4 linked regions of the Arabidopsis thaliana genome follow. The protein of the gene in region 3 interacts with the protein of the main gene of each other region in a pairwise test. Each region holds a gene or a part of one and is shown on either strand. Other genes may lie near its edges.

Evidence for each region.
Region 1: the proteins of AT3G22440 (region 3) and AT1G33470 interact in a two-hybrid assay, tested with the Arabidopsis thaliana proteins (one large-scale study listed by BioGRID).
Region 2: the proteins of AT3G22440 (region 3) and RBP45B interact in a two-hybrid assay, tested with the Arabidopsis thaliana proteins (one large-scale study listed by BioGRID).
Region 4: the proteins of AT3G22440 (region 3) and AT1G07840 interact in a two-hybrid assay, tested with the Arabidopsis thaliana proteins (one large-scale study listed by BioGRID).

What each region holds. Positions count from the first base shown.
Region 1 is NC_003070.9:12,142,512-12,147,734, reverse strand, and holds AT1G33470 (RNA-binding (RRM/RBD/RNP motifs) family protein), read right to left. Parts: upstream 3,296-5,223; 5' UTR 3,104-3,295; coding exon 2,948-3,103; intron 2,862-2,947; coding exon 2,729-2,861; intron 2,383-2,728; coding exon 2,256-2,382; intron 2,162-2,255; coding exon 2,125-2,161; intron 2,052-2,124; coding exon 1,793-2,051; intron 1,721-1,792; coding exon 1,695-1,720; 3' UTR 527-1,694; downstream 1-526. Other genes in the region: AT1G33475 (SNARE-like superfamily protein), read left to right, coding at 1-312.
Region 2 is NC_003070.9:3,912,831-3,918,784, forward strand, and holds RBP45B (RNA-binding (RRM/RBD/RNP motifs) family protein), read left to right. Parts: upstream 1-1,943; 5' UTR 1,944-2,064; coding exon 2,065-2,325; intron 2,326-2,597; coding exon 2,598-3,063; intron 3,064-4,190; coding exon 4,191-4,249; intron 4,250-4,336; coding exon 4,337-4,467; coding exon of another isoform or gene 4,468-4,471; intron 4,472-4,585; coding exon 4,586-4,682; intron 4,683-4,907; coding exon 4,908-5,111; 3' UTR 5,112-5,413; downstream 5,414-5,954. Other genes in the region: AT1G11630 (Tetratricopeptide repeat (TPR)-like superfamily protein), read right to left, coding at 338-1,555. UniProt on the Arabidopsis thaliana protein: Heterogeneous nuclear ribonucleoprotein (hnRNP)-protein binding the poly(A) tail of mRNA and probably involved in some steps of pre-mRNA maturation.
Region 3 is NC_003074.8:7,957,770-7,962,888, forward strand, and holds AT3G22440 (FRIGIDA-like protein), read left to right. Parts: upstream 1-1,983; 5' UTR 1,984-2,084; coding exon 2,085-2,997; intron 2,998-3,331; coding exon 3,332-3,507; intron 3,508-3,607; coding exon 3,608-4,117; 3' UTR 4,118-4,602; downstream 4,603-5,119. Other genes in the region: AT3G22436 (uncharacterized protein), read right to left, coding at 129-251; AT3G22450 (Ribosomal L18p/L5e family protein), read left to right, coding at 4,674-5,119.
Region 4 is NC_003070.9:2,422,041-2,427,242, reverse strand, and holds AT1G07840 (Sas10/Utp3/C1D family), read right to left. Parts: upstream 3,199-5,202; 5' UTR 3,090-3,198; exon of another isoform or gene 2,969-3,089; intron 2,673-2,968; 5' UTR 2,641-2,672; coding exon 2,597-2,640; intron 2,405-2,596; coding exon 2,317-2,404; intron 2,075-2,316; coding exon 1,895-2,074; intron 1,812-1,894; coding exon 1,632-1,811; intron 1,549-1,631; coding exon 1,381-1,548; intron 1,292-1,380; coding exon 1,140-1,291; coding exon of another isoform or gene 1,112-1,139; exon of another isoform or gene 1,052-1,111; coding exon 937-1,051; intron 830-936; coding exon 818-829; 3' UTR 515-817; downstream 1-514. Other genes in the region: AT1G07850 (transferring glycosyl group transferase (DUF604)), read right to left, coding at 1-498; AT1G07830 (ribosomal protein L29 family protein), read right to left, coding at 3,851-3,958, 4,137-4,294, 4,526-4,694.

The sequences.
Region 1 (5,223 bases), on a different chromosome or scaffold from region 3:
GCTCCTCTTTTAGGAAGATCCAACAAGCAAGATAAGAAGAAAGGGAGAGATCATGCGCACTCACTAAGAGGTATTGAGATAGAGGAACACCGAAAATCAAATGATAGAGGAAACGTAACAGAATGTTCTAATGCTTCATCTGAATCAGCAACGTATGTTCCAAGAAGGGGACGATCTGGTGGCTCTCAGAGCATTGAGAGGAAGTGGCGGCGTCAAGTGAAGATTGTTCTTGCCATTGATATAGCTATTTGCTTAACGCTGCTTGGTGTTTGGTTGGCTATTTGTCATGGCATTGAGTGTACACGTTCTTGATCTATTTATTCTTCCATATGCATTTTCCTCTTCTGCAGTTATGTTGTAGAGATTGCAGTTTGAAATATTCTGCAGCATTGTTGATTGTATATTAGGTATAGGTCTCAAGTTCCTACGTTGGTTTGTGTATAATATGATGATTTTGTTCTTATAGTTGTACATAAAAACCAGTCTGTTGCTGAATGATTGTAGTAAGGCCTCTTGGCATCAAGATAATGAAAGTAGGGATTCATATAGTAGGAGACATTGTCATAACCTCATACAAGAGGATTATATATCAGATCAAAGTAAAATATTGCAATCACAGTTTCATTTTCCAACCACCGAGGATGGAAACTGAAAGCTTTTAGTTTTCTTACATAGAATCAGAAACACACAGCTTACAAGATATAACAACAAATTACATAAAAAGAGAGTTTTTAGTCTTGAAGAAATAGAGGAAAGAAGTACAAAAGAGAGATAAAGAGGTGATGAATACCTCTCACCTGAAATTCCTAACCATGGTTGGTCAACTGGTTTGGTTGATTGTTATGAGAAGAACCTAAAGGGAACCAAAATATCTCCCAAGAGGCAAAAATACATGCAAATGCAAGAACCCCACAATCCATTAGTGGGGTTGGTTCAAGATATGATGAGCAATCTAAATTTTGAATCTTAAAAATGATCTTAATCTAAGTTAGCTCAAGTGTGGCTATAACTCCAAAGCTTAGCCACCGAGAATATACATGTGTTAGCAATTCCTTTATCCTCAAAGGAAGTTTATGTTCTAGCGTTCTACTACAAGACAATGTGTAACAACATGGTCCTAGATCTAATAATCCTAAGACTGCACATTAAAATGGATATAGCGTGAAGTAGTGTGCACACCTTTGCACACACTACTTCAACACTTCCAGGTGGTGGCAATTCACTTCTTGTGCCTTTCCCGGGAAATCCTTATTTCCTTTCTTGTTGATCAGCCAATCCTAAGTTTTTAAGTTTTTCTACAAAATTGCTTGCCTTTGCGAGGCACTGTGCAAAAGACGGTAACTGTTTACTTCTACAGCTCGAACAAGCTATCTTGAACGAAACCTTCGTTCAGAAAGCAGGTAATGCAATGAATAAAATGAAAAGATGAGTAATGTGTATGAAGATGGTCCTAGTTAAACCCCTATGTGAGACTTAACTAGAACTTGCAAAGACGCCCAAACTCCAAATTATGGGCTTCTTTGTCTAATGGGTTAGAAGCATAAAGGGAAAAGGGCAACCATGGTTAGGCCACAGGTCTTGTGAAACTTCAGAGGCATGTGGATGAAAGTAGTAAACAAAGCTTTGCCTTAAGGATTTAAATGAATTGGTCCCCTACATAGCATCATGGAACTATGAACCACGAGCCTTCATGGTCAAGCCTGTGGAACTGCAAAGCAAACTGCTGGAGAACATCAGTACCTCTAGTTTTCCATGTTGTGTATGAACAACGAAAAAATATAAAGAAACTAACCTGATGGTATGACTGGTGAAGGTGCAAGAGACACTGGTGAACCATTGTGATGCGGGTAGTTTCCCCCGGGAGCAGAATAGTGAAACATGTGGTTGGGGTAGTGGAGGGGAGCATAACCAGTGACAGGTCCATTTCCTTCAGCAAACTGGAGATATGGGTAGAACCCTGCTGCTGGTGCTGCTGCTACACCAGTCATTGGTCCGCTTCCATACATTGGATGCTGAGCAGTTGCCCCTCCATAAACATTGTAATAGCTCTGCTGTAAAAACAATAATCCAATAAGCTATAAGAGATAAGAGTAGAGTAGGGAGAGACTCTTACAATATACATACCGTGGGGTAATTGTAATCCATTGAGTATGAAGAGAACCTAAGAAAGTTTAATGAAACCAAACAGAGGATTTATCAGTCTAAGTAGAGTGATGAGTATAGAAAAATCAAGTAAGAGATTAAACGTGGAGTACCCAAAAGGATTAGTGTAAGGAAGTGTGTAGTGGGAGAATGGAAGTGGGGAAGGAATAGCAGTAGCCGCGGTCCCAAAGTGTGTCTTGAAAGGGCTAGTCACCTTCATGCCTCTTCCTCCTACATGTCCTGCCATAACACAACAACATGAGAATCTCCTCTCAAACATTTGCTTTCAGACAAGAACAAAACACAACATATTTAACCAGAAGATTTAACTAACTAGTGTAGTCTGCAGAAGAATTATAAAGACTAGTGAGCAAGAAAATGGCTTTACTGAATCAACTAAGGAATCAAGATGAAGCTATACCTCAAACAATAAAGTAAGACAATTCATAAAGTATCTAACTTTGCTACTAATATGTGAGACATGTGATTCAAGACATACAATTCCAGCAAGATCCATGGATTTACATATACTCTTGATGTAGGGTTTTCAAAAGTAAAGTATCAAAAGACAGAAACCTAAAAGTACCATGAATAGGAGAAGAAGGTTTGGATCTCTGAACACCAAAAGCAGCAAGATTACAATTAGCTCTTCTTCCATCAATAACAGGAGCTGGATCTACACAAGCTTTCTGAGCTGCTTCCGGATCACAAAAAGTAACCTTTACAAAAAAAAAACAGAACCCGTGAGCTTGAAGCTATAACAAATCTCCAAAGTAAAAAGAAACAAGAAGAAGAAGAAACTTACAAAGCCATAGCCTTTAGATCTACCACTAGATTTATCAGTGATAACGACAGCTTCAACAATGTCACCAAACTGTTCAAAGTAATTCCTGAGAGAGACTTTGTGTGTTTCCCAAGCTAATCCTCCAACGAACACTTTGGTAAATGTTGTGTCTTCCATTTCAGAAACAAGGGAAAATTCCACGAAGTAAAGTTTCCGGTTTTGGGAACAGAAGAAGCAGAGAGACGGTAGTTGAGAAACGAGAGAGAGAGAAGAAGGAGGAGGGAAGAGGATTCAAGGAAAAGTCTCAGGGAAAAAAGAGAGAATTTGGGGACACACTCATTGAATTATTTAACTTAGCTTTTCACAAATATCAATGACATTTTTTTTATTTTATGTACGGTCACTGTGTGTTTTTGTACACTTTTTTCTTGTTGGTCGGATCCACTCTGTAAAATAGATTTACAGTTGGAAAACATTTATTTTAGCTATTATTTAATTTTTGGTCTTTTATATTGGTGGAAAATCTTAAAATTGAAATTTTCTGTATTTTTAATTCTACCAAAAAAAGATATTCAACAAAAAAAACTTTCCCTTAGCAAATAACTAACCGAGAAATAACATACACAAAAAAAAAAAAATATAACTAACAGAGATATACTATATATAAAAAAATACATTTTTTTTTGACCAATATTAAATTATAGCTCAAAAGAGTTTTTTTTTTTTTTTAGTTTACATATCCCTCAAAATAAGTTGAACTACTGAATATATTTAGCATTTTAACATTTTCACAAAAGTTGGTCAAAAAAATTAATATACCAACCTTTTAATTTTTTATTATCTTCATAAGAATCCATATTATGATTGCACACAAGTTGTGTAACTTATTTGTAAGACATCAAATGATTCATGCATATGCATATTTCTTAGAACATGATTTAATGTGTTAGCCTACATATTTATATGTAAATCAAATCAAATCTAAAATTGATTGATAGTTAGCAAAATATTTCAGAATTTTAGTGATTAAAATTATGCCGATTTACATTCATTTACAAAAAAAAATGAGCAAAATGTTACGAAAAAGGTAATCTTAGTTTACAAATAGTTTTTTTTTTAATATCATTATTCCTTCCTGTTTTTAACTATAACGCTTATTAATTTTCTATTCGTTAAAAAAAATTATGAAGAATTATTGGTCTTCGTTTACAAAAAAATTTACTGACTTACAGATTTTTCCACTATCTTAGTTTACAAAAAAATTATTGGTTTGTATCACTTTTCATGACAATCTAAAATCTAGTTTACTAATTTGGAGATAAATTCTACTATTCTAAATACAAAATTATGAATTCTACATTTTGAAGTAAACATTTACTGACTTACAGATTTTTCCAGCCAAACTTAATAAGATAGATAATGTATATGAAGAATTAAATTAAAAATTGGTTAATATAACACTTAAGTCTATAATTCTTCTTTATGAGATCTCACAACTACAACAAGAAAAAGTCGGTCCTATTATCTTCAGCCAAAAGTGATTTTTCTAAAACTAGATCAATCTTACAAAATCATGTTTTGTATTACAATGTTAGTATGACTGATTTTTGAGCCATAAATTATTTCGATTCTCAGCTTTCACCCCGGACTTTTGGGCCCTTAAATTTCCACCATCAACTTTCATATTCCTCAAAATTACATTATCTACTTTCGAATTCATGCTTAAACATACATTTCCAATTGAACCATTCATTTAACCGGGATTAACCACAAATCTGCGTTTACTGTACCGCGATTGCGATTAACCCGACTAATACCCAGACCCGTTAAGAAAACGACGTCGTTTTCATTTCGTTTAACTCATCAAAAAGAGAAAGAAAACGATGTCGTTTTCATTCTTCTTTAACTCTCAAATCGATTTGGTCGTTCTTCTTTAATCTCGACACTGTGAAATTAGGGTTCTTGAGAGAGAAAGACAAAAGGAGATTTGGGGTTTTCTTCTTCGATTCGAATTTCTGGGTCTCGATTTGGGTTTCGAATAGGGAGAAATGAAGAATTGGTGGGAGGAAGGATTGATTTACCAAATCGATCCAGATGACCCCGATTTCGAACCTCCAGAGAGTGACATTGAAGCCGACGATGGAAGTGATAGTGGTGATAGCGGAGTCGAGGAGGACGAAGCCACCGGAGTTGAGGGAGACGACGTCGGGATAGATGGAGACAGAGAATCTGATGGAGAGGAGAATAGAGAAGACGATGGTGATATAGCGTCTGATGGAGACATCAATCTAGAAGAC
Region 2 (5,954 bases), on a different chromosome or scaffold from region 3:
GAAGCTAACATGGTCCCATGCCAACAAAAGACATTCGAGATTCAATTCATCAGCAAGGCCATGAAGCGATTAGGCTCATCGTTTCCGATATATTGAAAAATGTTACATTCCATTTATATACAACATGTTCAAAAAAATTCAGTAAGAAAATTGATAATTCACCAGCACCAATCCTTAGAGAGATAGCTTCTTAATCTCAACGACAAGATTCTCTTCAAACTATATCCCCTTTCATTTCAATTTTGACAGATGATTTCAGCTAAACTAACCAATCTCAAAAACTTCAAATCCTCATGTCAAATCGAAGATGAATGACTTCTTCTATGTGTACCTTTGTTCACTGAGGCAAAGGCAATGCAGCTTCGACTTCATTCCACAAGTCCACATTTCTGGTAAACTTCTCTTTAACTACCGCAATGAGCTCCTTTGCTTCATCGACCTTTGAACGACTTGCTAGTCCATTAACAAGCCACTTCATGACACTAAAACTCGGAACCCAATTCTTCTCCATACTCTCTCTACAAAGGATCAAAGCTGTCTCAAAGTCCCCTCCTTTACACAAACAATGTATCAAAGTGAAGTAACATTCACTATCAGGCTTGTATCCATTACACACCATAACCTCAAACAAATTCATAGCTTCATCCAAATTCTCCTCACTGCAAAACCCATGAATCAAAAGCGAATACGTCACAGAGTTTGGTCTCATCCTACAAGACATAACCCCATCAATCAACGCCTTTGCTTCTGCAGATTTCTTCCTTTTACACAAACATTGAATCATAATGTTGTATGTAGCTACACCAACATGAACACCAAATTCATCCATCATTCTCATCACTTTCCTCACTTCATCAAACTTCTCCTCCTTGTAAAAACCATCAATCATTAAACCAAAGCTAGCAGCTGTTGGCTTTATCCATTTCCTCTCCATCTCTGCAACAATGGAGTATGATGAACTCGTTGAACCTGATTCACACAAGACTCTAATCATTCTATTGTAAGTTTCGAGATCAGGTTCAATGCCATACATCTTCGGCATTTCGAGGTAGACACGATTCGCTTCTTTGTAATCCTTAGCCATTAAACAAGCGAAAAGAAGAGCATTTAGAGACTTCACCGTCCTTGGGATCTCGTATTGCTCGAGGTTGCGAAATGTTTGTATAGATCGATCAAGCATATTCGCTCTGCCGTATAGGATAATGGCACGGACTGCGAAACTCTCGGATTTTGGATCGGGTTGGTTTTGGATGAAACCGTCGAGAAGCTGCGATACAGCGACGAAGTGTTTCTCTCTCGCTAGTGTCACCACCGCAACGGAGAAGATGATACGGTCGACGTGATAATCAGGTGAGAGTGAAGTGGATCGGCAGATTTCGAGGATTCGATCAGGATTATTCTCGGATTTGAGAAGGGAGAGAGTATCTCGGCTCTTCTTCTGCTTGCTAGTGAGAGATTTTAGTGTGAAGATAGATGAAGAAGAAGACTTCAATCGGAATTGAGTCGCTTTCTGGAGTATAAATTCCGATGTTCGAATGCGGAAGAGGAACGCCATTACTAGGGTTCATGATTTCCCCGAAGAAATGGAGACGACGGCTGAGAGAGAAGAGGTTTAAACCGGTTTAGGGGTTTGACAAAATAAAATTTTTAATTTCAATGGTTTACTTAAATCATATACATAATTCATATCATCCGTTGATTTTATGACTAGTCAGCAACTTGGACGGTTCCGATTGAATCTAGGATATTTTTTAAAAAGTTAAATAAAAAGTTAAGGATCATGTTTAAACCGGGGGTTTGAACCCGACGTGAATCGAACACGCAACCTTCTGATCTGGAGTCAGACGCGCTACCATTGCGCCACGGATCCCTTGTGATTACAAGCACCAAAGGATATTTATATAGTAAAACACATATCGTTTTATTACAAACCGCCGCCTTCTCAAAGGGTTATCAACAATCTCTCATCTTTAGCATTGTTTTGTTATCTTCTTCTTCATCACAATTTTTCTACGGTCAGAGATTCAAAAGAGTTCTTTCTCTCTATCTTATTCTCCGATCATCATGATGCAGCAGCCACCACCCGGAGGTATCCTTCCACATCACGCTCCTCCTCCTTCTGCGCAACAACAGTACGGTTACCAACAACCTTACGGGATTGCTGGAGCTGCTCCACCACCACCACAGATGTGGAATCCTCAAGCGGCGGCGCCGCCATCAGTTCAGCCTACGACCGCTGACGAGATCCGGACTCTTTGGATCGGGGACTTACAGTATTGGATGGATGAGAATTTCCTCTACGGTTGCTTTGCTCATACCGGAGAGGTAATATTCTCAGATCTCTCTGTTTTCGCTTTATCGTTCGCGCTTAATTGTTTGTTCGAAGGAGATTAAGGTTAATTTGATAAGTACTTGTTAGTGTTAATTGTTTCCTCGCTTTTATATTTGAAAGATTTGATTTTGATGTGTAAAAAGATTAACTTTAGATGTTTGAATTTTTTTTAATATGTAATCTCTTTCCGACAATGAGTTAATGAGTGTTCTGTCTAGTTATATAATGACTAGTTGGTTTAACACTATCAGTATTTATTTTGCAGATGGTTTCTGCTAAAGTGATTCGTAACAAGCAAACCGGTCAAGTTGAAGGATACGGTTTCATTGAATTCGCATCTCATGCTGCTGCTGAAAGAGTTCTACAAACATTCAACAACGCTCCTATCCCGAGCTTTCCTGATCAGCTCTTTAGACTGAACTGGGCATCATTGAGTTCAGGAGATAAACGAGACGATTCACCGGACTACACGATATTTGTCGGTGATCTGGCTGCTGATGTTACGGATTATATCTTACTTGAGACGTTCAGAGCCTCTTATCCGTCAGTGAAGGGTGCAAAGGTTGTTATTGACAGAGTCACTGGACGTACAAAAGGATATGGGTTTGTTAGGTTTTCTGATGAAAGTGAACAGATCCGTGCTATGACGGAGATGAATGGCGTTCCTTGTTCTACTAGACCTATGAGAATTGGTCCCGCTGCTAGCAAGAAAGGTGTAACTGGTCAAAGAGGTAAAGTAAAGTATATGTCACATTAGAACTGATTTGATCTTGCATTCTCTTGATTTGTGTGTTGTAGTATCTATGTGATTAGGTTGCCTTAAGTAAGAACTAGTTAACTGCCTTGTGCTAAGTATGACTCCATTACTTTTTCTAAAGCCGCATCCTACATTTACCGCTGAGGCCGCAGTCAATTCTGTTAAAAAACTTAAAAAGATAGAAATCTTATAGAACACTTGTTGTATCCTGTTTGTTTCAAAGCAGGGGAGTCAAGAGGCTCTCTATCATCTTGAGGCCTGGAACTGATATTCAGCTGAAATGGTTATCTCCTTATTGAGTGCCCATGCTTAGGTCAGTTTTAAAGTTCATGTGTTGTCCTTTATTAGCCCTTTCCTTCGATTCAGCCCTACTTTAATTTCCATTTATCTTTTCTATACAAACCTTTATTCCAGTTCTTGGTCAGTTACTTACTTTTATAAGTCGATTCTTATGTAATTACTTTTCTATTTCATTCCGCTCTACTTAAAGTTCTTATCTTTCACTTGATTTACTTATATCTTTAGTACATCAAGCTCTTTTTTACTGTTTTTGTGAGTCTAGATGATAGAAGTTCTATCCTTAAGTTATGAGATTTGGTCAGATGTGACAGTTTCTGGAGTGGCCAGAGAAATAGTCTATACATTGTTTCTAATTTTTTCAGTATTGACCTTTATAATCCTCTATATTCCTCTCTATAGGCATTTCATTTAGTTTACCACCTTTATCTACCCTTGAGTAGTCAAAAACCTTGGGTGAAATGTGATGCAAATGTAATTGTTGCTCTCTACTTGCTCGTTTTCTTGCGGTTGCAGCTCCTCAGATCCTTTCTCAATGCTTGTTGATGGAATGATCCTATACGTATAGTTTATGATTGATGTTAACATCACTGATGCCTTCTTTGAATACTATTCTCCTTTTGGAGTTTGGGCGGTGTGTTGTATATGTGTGAATGCCTTCTTTGCATTTGCTTTCATTTTGATGTGAATATCTAGATGAGGCTGCAAAAGGCTCCCTCATAGTTTTCCAATCACTTTGTTGCATGTGTAATTTACAGTGACTTACTACTTCCATTATACCTGTGTTTTTTCGTGTAAATGCAGATTCATACCAGAGCTCTGCTGCAGGGGTAACAACTGATAATGATCCAAATAACACAACTGTGGGTCTTAAGCTCCTATTATATATTTGTCCCTCTCGGTTATCTTCCAAAGCGGTTATATCTGACGCATTTTAATTTACTGTACAGGTTTTTGTTGGTGGATTAGATGCATCTGTCACGGATGATCATCTGAAGAATGTCTTTAGCCAATATGGTGAGATTGTGCATGTGAAAATACCCGCTGGAAAGCGCTGTGGATTCGTTCAGTTTTCCGAGAAGTAAGTCTGCTGCTACTACTGGAAGCTCTGTCTTTCATTTAACCCTAAAATAGTCTTTGGAATAGAATTCTAATAGTTTTTTTTATCATGTGTTTTGTGACCAACCCTCACTTTTCAGGAGCTGTGCAGAGGAAGCTCTTAGAATGCTGAATGGAGTGCAATTAGGCGGAACAACCGTCAGGCTCTCATGGGGCCGAAGTCCTTCGAACAAACAGGTAATTGATAATCTTTACATTGACATTAGATGATAGAAAGAAACAGCTCACAGTGTATCGCCTTTTGTCTAAGAACTATCGCAGCTTCTCTCACCGTGTATCGGCTTTTGTTCTAAGAACTATGTAGTCCAGGCTATTGTTTTAGATGATAGCAGAATCGCTTAAAATAGTTGAGTTCAAGTAGCTTTTTATAATCTGAAATGCTTTTTTGATATTGGTTTCCAGTCGGGGGATCCGAGCCAGTTTTACTACGGTGGGTATGGACAAGGACAGGAGCAGTATGGGTACACGATGCCTCAAGACCCTAATGCATATTACGGAGGCTACTCTGGTGGAGGATACAGCGGTGGTTACCAGCAGACACCACAGGCAGGACAGCAACCACCACAACAGCCACCACAGCAGCAACAAGTCGGGTTTAGCTACTAACCCCGAGAGTATTGCTTGAGTTAATGTCACTCTGCTTGTTGTTTGCGTACTTTGTTATGAACTTGTTTCTGCGTGCCTTGTTATGAATATTTTCCCAAACACAGTTTATTTGTCTTTGCTTTTCTCTAGGTGTGTGTTGAGTTTTTAACTCTTAATAATGTTTCTGCGATGCTTCTGTTTTTAATGTTTTCATCACCTTTTGAAAGAACGTAAGCGTTGATTATATTTTAGGGTTATGTGTTTATTTTTGAATGTTAAAAGAGTGGTCGATGAATGATAATCACCAGAGATCTTGAGCACAACTAGGCTCCAGCTTTAGAACAGTTGGAGTCTTTAGAGGTCTATGTAGAGGCAGTGTGGTATACGTCTCTCAAATCTCAAGTTGAACATTTTACATACTATGAATCTTGGAGTCATGTATGTATGGACTCATATCAACAGCTCCAAGCTTTGAAAAATATATTTAAAATAATTGTCTTGACCCGTTGTCCTAACCAAAGGACACATAATAAGGAGAATCTTGATTAATTTAGTAGATCTTGCAAATCGTTGTCTTATATCTGAGACCAAAAATTGTTGGCTCCGAAACAATATTATTATTTTCTCAAGTTCATAACGTTATAGACTTATAGCTTTTTCATAACCGAGGAAATTAGAATTCTTTCATTACAATAAAAAGAAAAGTCAGCGATTTTTCCCCTGCTAGATCAGTAATATTCCTAAATTATGTCCATTAATTGAAATCATTATTCATTAATTATAAGAAATCTATCAAAAAATTAAGAACTCAACAAAACTATTGATTAATGGTTTTTCCGACATGGACACAAAGGTTAAAACCAA
Region 3 (5,119 bases):
TCGATTCAGTGTTCATATTGCATAGTCTAATATCGGTTGAACCTGATATATACAAGTTCTCTTTACCAACATCCTTAGAAGTATATTGTGATAGTTGCTTGATGCTTTTGATGTCCCTGTTGATTCTCCTACGTTCGTTTCTTCTTTCCTTGTTCTATCTCATCCTTTCGAATAGTGGTTCCTGCTTGTTCTTTAGGCTTTAGCCAGCCTATGGAAATGAGAATATTGAACCAACCAAACAATGTTGCCATAGTGCCATTGTATTGATGATGTCTATGACATTGAGTTATTGTTTTTGTTTGCACTCTGGTAGTAGCTTTATGTATTTGGTCACCTTAGATTGGTGACAACAATGGTGGTGTTTAGTTTAAGCTAGCTATCTTCTTTGAATAAAAAAAAATAAAAAAAAAATTATAAATTGGTATGAAAACAAAAATAAACATTAGATAAGAGGACTTGTATTTTGTGGGGGCTTTTGGTAACCACTATATAAATTTTGTTTTGTCTTTGTTTATAACTCTTTAATTGACAAGTTAGGTATAAAGTGTTTTGACGATTTTTTCCCCTCTACTTTCTTGTGTTCTGATAAACTTTATTACATGTCTTCATTCAAATCTTTGGTTCGCTCTGGCTTACCAATTTACACGTTTTGTTAAAGGAAGTTTGATCAGCTTCGGTTTAGGCCGTGTGATTAAGAATTTAAGATAAACCTTAACACTTATGAAAGTAATCAAGCACTATCCGGTAGTGAAAGTTAATATAACATATAGGATTATAGTTTGGCCAATATCATAACAACTAGGATATAATTTTATGAATGTACAATATGCAGGACAAAGTACTTTGTATCTTTTGATAGAGTTACATGCACTATAAGAGAATTAAACATATTAGAAAAAAGACTAGATTATGTAAAATGTCATAATCATATTACTATAAGACTAGCTAGACTGAGGTCAAATCAATGCATAAATTTAAATCATTATCTCTTTTGAATTCGATTATCTCCCTCACATTTTTCAAATTTCTCTACTCACTTTTTCTATAAAGCGGAAACAGTAATCGGCGGTTCATATGTAGTCGGCCATTACGGACCCATTTAATTAGATAAATTATTCTTAGCCGTCAGTTTCATATTTCGTCTCATTCTAATTTTGTAATGTTTCTCTAACCTTTTTGTAACTATAAAATCATACTCTAATAGCAAGAGGTCTAAAAGAGTAATGGATATTTCCCCTCAATAATGTGTTATATGTCACTGTCCCGTTTTAACATTTTGTACATATCAACAGAAAAAAGTTTTTATGATATATCCATTCCACTGATGTCAAAAAAGCAATAGCTTTAATAAAACCAAATTCAAAATTTCGTTTTTATTCTATTCTTCTGTTTTGATATCACAAAGATATTAAAAACATAGTACGAAGATTAGTTTTATATGTGTACTAATGAATCTTCTTTGTGGTTGCTTCATTATCACGTTTTAACATTTGTCACGCGTGCCCTGATTTCATTACAGCCTTTTCTACAAAACACATGCATTGTTCTTCTTCTTACATTACTACATTACACTACACAAAGAATTTCATATTAATTATAACAACATTTTTTTTTTTTTGCTATACTATATAGTTTTTTGTTATTCAATTGGTATTTTACCGGCAATGCTTCACTGGTTTCCGACTCAACGCATGTGGTGGTCAGTGGGCTTGGCCCACTTATCTCTTTCACCTTTTTTTTTCTTTATACGAAAAATTAAAGCAAAGCTATAGTAATAGTACTTATTATTATTACCACGTCATCACCCAACTCTCTTATACTACGCATATCACGCTAAGCTACGCGTCGACGGCGCAATATAGAAGAATATGTAATAATCGCGCCTTTAATCAGACTCCACTGAGACGTGTCGCTATTTCGAGTTGTCCACGTCACTGTTTCTTTTGTCTCTTATCTTCTTCTTCGTCTCTTTACTTTTTTCCCATTTCTAGGGTTTCTTCAATTTCACTCTCTCTCTTGAGTTTATTCTTCTCTGCTGTATCAATCAAATCAACGGAGTTTGAGTTTCTTTTCCGATTCCGGCGATGGGGTCAGTCCCCGATCCAGGCGAGTTAACTGAGTTAGCTCAGCCGAGTTTCGAGGAGTTTCAGAAACAGACGTCGTTGATGACTAGCTGTACTCTTCTATGGCAAGAGCTCTCCGATCACTTCACTTCTCTAGAGCAGAATCTGATGAAGAAATCTGAAGCGTTGAAGCAGATGATTGAAACTCTAGATAACCAGACTCAGACCTCGCTCGAGTCTCTGAAGCGTAGAGAGGTAACAATCGACCATAGCGTTGAGATCGTAGCTGGGAAAGTAGGTGAACGAGCTAGAGCTGCTCTTGAATCGTTAGAGAAAGCTAGAGATGGTTGTGGTGATGGTTCTAATGATGATTCCGGTGATGTTGACGATGAAGAAGGTCTTCTTTCTGCTTTGAAATCTCTTTGTCTTAAAATGGATGCGAGAGGTTTTTGGAACTTTGTGACGGCGAGGAAGAAGGAGTTGGAGAATCTCCGGTCAAAGATTCCGGCGGCGTTGGTTGATTGTGTAGATCCGGCGATGTTAGTGCTTGAAGCGATATCTGAGGTTTTTCCGGTGGATACAAGAGGAGATAAAGTTAGCAATGATTATGGATGGGCTTGTGTTGTGATTCTTGAGAGTTTAACACCTGTAATTGTTGATCCAGTGATTGGGAAATCGAGGTTGCTTGTTACTCCGAGTGTTAAGGAGAAAGCTAAGGAGATTGCTGAGACGTGGAAGAAGAGTTTGGAAGAGAGAGGAAGGATAGAGAATGTGAAGACTCCTGATGTTCATACGTTTTTGCAGCATCTTGTTACATTTGGAATTGTTAAAAGTGAAGATCTTGCTTTGTATAGAAAGCTTGTTGTTGGATCTGCGTGGCGTAAACAGATGCCTAAGCTTGCGGTTTCTGTTGGTTTGGGTGATCAAATGCCTGGTAATCCTCTTAAGCTCTTATCTTCTACCTATTAGTTTTTTATCCTGGCATGCTCATTGTAACTTGTGAGATCATATATGGTTTTGAAATTGGCTAGTTTACTAATAGTTTAACCCATCTAGATGTATAGTTTTGGTAGGTTACAAATAGTTTACGAGTTGATTAGTCGAATATTAAGTTTGTGTGGCAAACATTGTATGGCATAGATTGTGGTGAAGTCTGAGACATTAGTGGTACAAGGTGTTATTGACCACAGACTGTGTGAAGTTGAAGCCTTTTTCTCTGTATCTCGTTTTATAATATCTGAACTTACAAGTTGTTGCGCTGTCCACAGACATGATTGAAGAATTAATCAGCAGGGGACAACAGCTTGATGCTGTTCATTTTACTTATGAAGTTGGGCTTGTGGATAAGTTCCCTCCTGTTCCTTTGCTCAAAGCTTATCTAAGGGACGCAAAGAAGTCAGCAGCTTCTATCATGGAGGACTCTAGCAATACTGGCCGAGCTACGGTATCTACTCATTGCATCTACTCATTTCTATCGCAGCTAAATATTTTTATCTGTGCGTCCCTGAAAGTTAATATCTTCCTTGTTATGTTTTCTTCCTAAGCATCTCGTGGCGCGCAAGGAGCAATCAGCACTTAAGGCGGTTTTAAAATGCATAGAAGAGTACAAACTCGAGGAAGAGTTCCCTCCAGAGAACCTCAAGAAACGGTTGGATCAGCTAGAGAAGACCAAAACCGAGAAGAGAAAGCCAGCAGCTGTTCCTGCCAACAAAAGAACCCGAGCCAGCTACAACGGTCCAATGCCACCAGCCAAAGCCGGGCGTATCACAAACGCATACGTCTCTTCCTTCCCGTTCATCAGATCACCCTCTCACTCTCCTCAATACGCTTCACCAGCAGCTTACCCATCCCCACCTACAACAGTCTACAGCAACAGAAGCCCACCTTATCCATACTCTCCGGAGATCATCCCAGGCTCATACCAAGGCTCTCCTATCGGTTACCCAGCGTACAACGGTTATTGTAATGGTCCAGTTCCTGCTCCAGCTCCTCCAGTTTACCACCCACACCATCATCAACACCACCAATTCCACCATCAGCAACATTACTACTGAATTAGAAGACAGTGTGACAACAAAACAAGGAAGAAGATTGGTAATAACCAACAAATCACTGATACTGTGACAACTGCTACTACTCTGGTGTTCTCTCTCTCTGGGTCTATTGTCTTCCTACGTCGTCGTTTTTGTCTGTAATATCTCTTTCTCAGCCTAACTCTCTTAGTAACTTAGCTTATATCCTCTGGTGTGTTTATTATTAATCGCATATAAAACAAAACTCAAGCTTTTGTAATGTCTAATATTCAGTCAACAAACTTATATTTCTGTACTCTGTTAATCGAATGACAAACTTCTCTTCGTCACCAACTATCTCCGATCAAATCTAACATCGGAGGTCGTTGCTTTGAAGACATACCCACCAGTTCTCTGTTGAATTGCATTTCTTCTTCATTGAGCAAAGTGGTGATTCAATTTCGGTACAAGACACAAAGCCAGTGGTGAGAAATTTCTCTTTACCAACCTTGCACACCAGATGTTCGACGATATGTCTCTTTGAAATCTTACCGTTTAGTTTTCACGTGCGTTTTCAGAATTGGTCTCTTTTCCTTCAATGGCTTTGATGGTTTTGAGAAGAAAGTGTCTCCGTTTGCCAGATTTTATCTCCGTTTTTCGACCTGCACCGCGTTGCTTCTCCTCGAGATTTTCCAACAGTGAAAGTGGTAAAGTTACAGTGACTGGTTTGAGTGGTTGTGGTATAGAAACTGTGGATGATGATGTTTGGCATGTTTCATCATCTTTATCCCAAGCTTGGAGACAGTTCCAAGCAGACACTGCAAAAAACTCTCCCGTTACAATACAAGGAGTAAGAGAAACAATACTCGATGATGAAGATCCCGATCACGATGAAATCGATAACATGAGAATTCGCGGTGATCTTTTCTTCAAGCTCGATCGAGGTTCAAAAGAATTCGAGGAATACAACTATGACTTCCACCGCAAGAATCAACACAAGAACGCTAAAAAGGAGCAAAACCAAGAAGAAGAAACAAAGATAAA
Region 4 (5,202 bases), on a different chromosome or scaffold from region 3:
TCTGACTCTCTTGTCAATCCAGACAACGCCACGAGTTTTACCAGGTCGCCACCATGATTTGATGTACTCTTTTCTCGTCTCCCACAGAACAGAGGACGCGGCAATCCCGAAAACGATGTGATCAAGCGTCGTGTTGAACATCCTTGGTCGCTGCGGGTAAAGAGCGGGGACACGTGGAGGCACATCGTCGTCTTCTTCCTCGGGAACAACAGAGGAAGATGAGTTTGCTTTGTCGACTAGGGACAGGTGGCTGTAGGTAGAAGAAGAGGGACGGCAGGTCTTGCGTGAGCCACCTCCTCCGGTTGTAGAGATGAGAAGCAAAGGGAGGAAGAAGAGGAAGATGAAGAGCCATGGCAGAGGAGATCTTAAGAAGCTTAGGTGAGAGGTCCGAGCAGAGTTGCTGTGGTTTTGTGCTTGGTTTCTTTGGTGGTGATGATCTTCTAGAAGTATGTTCTTAGGGTTGCTGAGATTGGTGTTAGAGCTCGAACTGTTTCCCATCGCTAATGGGAATAGAAAAGAAATAGATCGACACTACTTTGTTTTGTTTGTTTGTTTTCAATCAGATTTGGTGACATCTCTTTTTATAAATGATAACGAAGTTTCAGTAGTAACAGGCTAAATTTAGCTAAAGAGAAAAGGTCTCTTCCTAATTTTACTGCAAGAGCATGACCATGAACCAATACTAAAACTGATAACAAGTTCTCACATTCACCACTTTCAACATTTAATCATAAAAGCAAATCGAAAATTTGTATCTTTTTCATGGCAACAAAATTGGTGCACTGAAGCAGCTAAAGGAACCACTGGTGTATCCATATCAGTGCCTTGTCTGCGAAAATTGAACAATACATTGTCAAACACAAAAGAAACTGAAAAACAAAAACAAAAAAAGGCAGAATATTTGAGAAAAAAATAGTAGAATAAGAAAAAAGTTACCTTTCTTTTCTTGAATGGCCCTCCCCTTTTATTACGGCCGAAGCTTCTTGGCTTTTCACCATCCTTATCCAAGAACTTGATATCATCGTAAAAGTTCTCGGTTAGTTCATGCAACCTGATTCAGTTGAACATGAGTGTGTATCATCACATAAGGACCAATTACATATCAGACACTTCAGTTTCCAACCAAAGCAAACACGTACCCGCTGCTTGATTTCAAGCGCTTCTCTCTCTTCTTATCCTCTTTAGTGCGAGGTGCCCGGGTAAAGAGCTCTTCTTCTGCCTTTTGTTGCCTTTCATACTGTGCCATAAACCTCTTCTGCTCATTGCTCTCAACCCCATAATAGTCTCTAATCTGTTCATATTCATTCACCCATTTAGTTCCAACATCAAATTAATCTCTACCACGCATATCAACTGCAAATTAATTTCCTTCCAACTCACCTCTTCAGGCCTGTCCTCCAGATCGTCCAACACATCTTTCATGTATGTATTTTCAGTGGCTTGTCTAAAAAAGTGTTTCTCTTTTCTGGCAGCATCTCTTTCTTGTTTTGAAGTCTTATCTTCCATAGACATAGGGGCAAATTTCGGGGGTCGATAAACACCATCATCCTACATTTACACAGGCAAAGAGGTTAATAAAAATAACACGCAACATATTTCTTCACAAGTGTTGGAGGATAGTAAGGTTTCACCTCTTGGTCATCCTCTTTGTCAGCAAGTAAGTCAGGTTTAGGCTTATAATTTGAAAGATCTTCAGATTTTTGGGCTTCACACGACCCCTTTCCCTCGGAATGAGCTAGCTCTGTCACAGGCCCACCGGCTGTGGTGAGCTTCTGAATCTGGTACTGAAGTTTTTTGTCTATGGGACGAATCTACACAAAAGAAAAACAAGCTAAAACTATGACTCCATGACTTGTTGGCGATATAGAAAGTGGAAAAAGACAAAGATGCAAACCTTTTCCAGAAACATACGTATCTCTACAAGGCTCCTTACAAGAGGATGACCATCAATAGAGAGTCCTTTTGCTTTCCTTAGAATATAATATACAAGATCCTGGCAATAACTTAGAAGTAACAGATGCTTGGCCTCAAGATAACTTATCCCACCCGCTGTCGGAAAACTGTTTGCTTTTACCTACGATTTGTAAAATTAAGAAAGTCAGGATGTCATGAATGACCCATTGTGTCTCTGAATGGTAACGGCAGATGCAGCTATATACAATACTTTGGTTAAAAATCCTCAAGGAGAAGCAAACAGTTTGTTCTCGAAGTCGTCAATTCTACTTATACCCAATTGAAACTAGACATGTTATAGACGAGACCGAGTAGATATTAATAAAGTAGAATCCAACAAAAATATGTTATCAGATTACGTACCAATGCAGTCAGAGCTTCCACTTTGCTCCTAACCACATCTAGAACATTCTTCATTTCTCTCAACACGGATGCTAGCTGTGGAGCTTCTCTGAGACAGTTACAATAACAAAAACGAGACCAGTAAAAACATGAGGCATATCTAAATACACAAGTTATTATTTTCGTTTGATTGTGAGTTGTGACAATTAAAGTGATTCAACGATTCATTATTCAAGCTGTATTCTTTTTTTCTTTATGGCTAAAACAGAGAACAATTTCATGATGGGTAAGAATAACTCACTTCTTAACTATTCCAACAAGGACCGGTTTGGTGATCTCCTCCATGATTCTTGTTCAGTACTTGACAGAAGATAAGTCTGTGAAAAAAGGAAAACAAACATGAAAGTTCAGAGACTAACCCTTGAATTTGAATACCACATTAAGATACTCAGATAAACTAAACCATAGTAACTGAGAACGAAAAGAATTTAATTCATGTTGAGATTTTGGAACAGAGATTATGGTTTGGTCCAACAACGTTTGAATATCTAAGTAAGCAGCCAAAGAGTAGCTAAATAAAAGTTTCATCTTCAATCCTTACGTTTTCCTACAAATACTGTCTACCAATTTACTAATTCATAGAAACAAACATTCACGATAACCCAATGCTAACCAAAATTGATGAATTCCCAACAGAGCAACTATCTCTCCGTTTTGACTCGATTAATTGAGCTCAGTGGTTGTCGGTACACCAAATCTAGAAGCGGAAAAGACACGAAGAAGAAAGCACTCACCGGAGATAGTGAACTTGAAGGTGACAGAGAGCGACGCTAAGAAAAAGGTCACGGCGGCCACAAAGTAAAATTAATCGAAAGCCTCTCTCTACTGATTTTCCGACAATTAAAACAAAAAAAAAAAGGTTTTAAGGAGACGCATGATTCTAACATATTTCAGGCCCCATTTAGCTTTAGGGCCCAATAAGGGTGGCTAAGTTTAATTATCGCAAGACGCAAGCAAATAATTTAGCGCAATCTATGGTTTTGGTGGTTTAATCATTTTGGTTATTCAGTTTCGACAATATGATTCTTTTCTTTTATAATCAAATAATCAGATTTTATTTTAATTTTTGCTGTGTCGTTAGTCACAATAATCAGTTGAGTTTGAGAACGAACACTGAGTTCTGATTCCTTCAGTCTCCTCCATATAGCCCATATAGGACTCGACTAAACCACCAAATCTTTCATCTGCCAAAATCTACTTCATCAGTGTCGTTGCCTTGCCATTACCGTTTATGTTGGTTTTAAGAGAAAGACAAAGCTCTGAATCAACACTGACCAACATGTGTCTCAAAAAGAAACATCAACCATAAGTTACAGAAATGTGCGTACAGATACCAACCAAACGTTTTTCTACTGCCGACACTACTACAGTCACAATCATTGGACCAGTTCCAAAGTCTTGAAAGCTATGCGTTATTTCTTACTCCGAAAAACTCAACACCTCTGCGGATTGACTCGTGCTTACTGCTAGGTTGCCAAAACAAGAGCCAATGGGATCACATACCATTTACCATTCTCTTCATCTCGGCTGATCTTCTAGAATCTGGTTCTTCAATCGCTCTCTCGGTCAGCACATGCTTAATGCGGCACATTGATCTCCTCACCTATATTTGTGAGAGGCAAACAAAGTTGACATTCATTAAAAAATAATCATAATCTCCCTCGGTAACAAAGAACATAACCATTCCTTGAAGAAAGGATTCATGTTTCTTCTCGTAGTATCTATTATTTTGTCAACAACTTAATTGGATAGAGAGTCAAAGCCAAATTAGTATCGATTACCTTTGGAATGCGTTCAGGGTTAGGAAACTGCATGTTCTGAGCCTGAAGCATCTGACGCTGAGTCATCAACATGTTTTTCTCTTTGAGAAGAACGTACCACAGCTTCTGAAGATCATCCCATGACTTGAGACGCAGCTCTGAAGCTTTCCAACCTCGACCTAACACCAGAAGTTTACAAATTTTCCCCCATTAACAAAACTAAACAATCCTAATTCCAAAAACTCCATGGGAGGATAACAAAGTTAAGAAGAAAAACGAACGATTAGCAAGCTTGACTACAGTCCTAAGCTACAGTGAATTACTTTACTTCTTCACTGTACATTCTATGAACAATCCCACTAGTAAACTAGTATTAAGCAGATGAGTGGCAGAAAACAGAGAGAAGCTACCATAGACAACAGGTTTATCTTCGTCTTGGCTTCTGTCGAACTCAAAGAACTCTTCGAGTGGATTTGTTGGCGTCCGAATCGTCGAGGCAGCTGCTGCTGCTGTAGTGGACTCCGATCGCGCCGATGCAGCCGCCAAGAATCTCCTCCCGACAAATCGCGTAAGAAACATTTTAACAACAAACAATTCCTTTGAGCTTGCAGTTATATAATCTGATCATCAACAACAATCAGAAAGAGAAATCGAGATTGGATAACAAAATGGTAAATGGTTAATGAAAGTCGTACAAAATATTTCAGGCTTCCGAAGAAGTGAGAGATCGTGTACACAGAAAAGCACATCTCGCAGAGGAATAAATAAGAACTCACCGGAGATAGAGAGAGGAGAGCTATTTCACGGCGACGGTGACGGCCACAGAGAATGGAAAACCCTCTCTCAACGTTTCTCCGAGAATAACAGGTTTACGGAGACGGAAACTTTTAGGGCCCAATACTAGCTCTGTTAGTATTGATACTATTATTGGGCCAGGTTTCATTTTCTCTTTTAAGGCCTAATAAGACCCAACACTTGCAAATTATTGGAAGACGAATGCTGTTTTTGTTTTGTTTTTCAATAAAACAACATCTTTCAATTAAATTGGGAGCAATCCACGTCATCGATCCGTCAAGTATTGTTAACG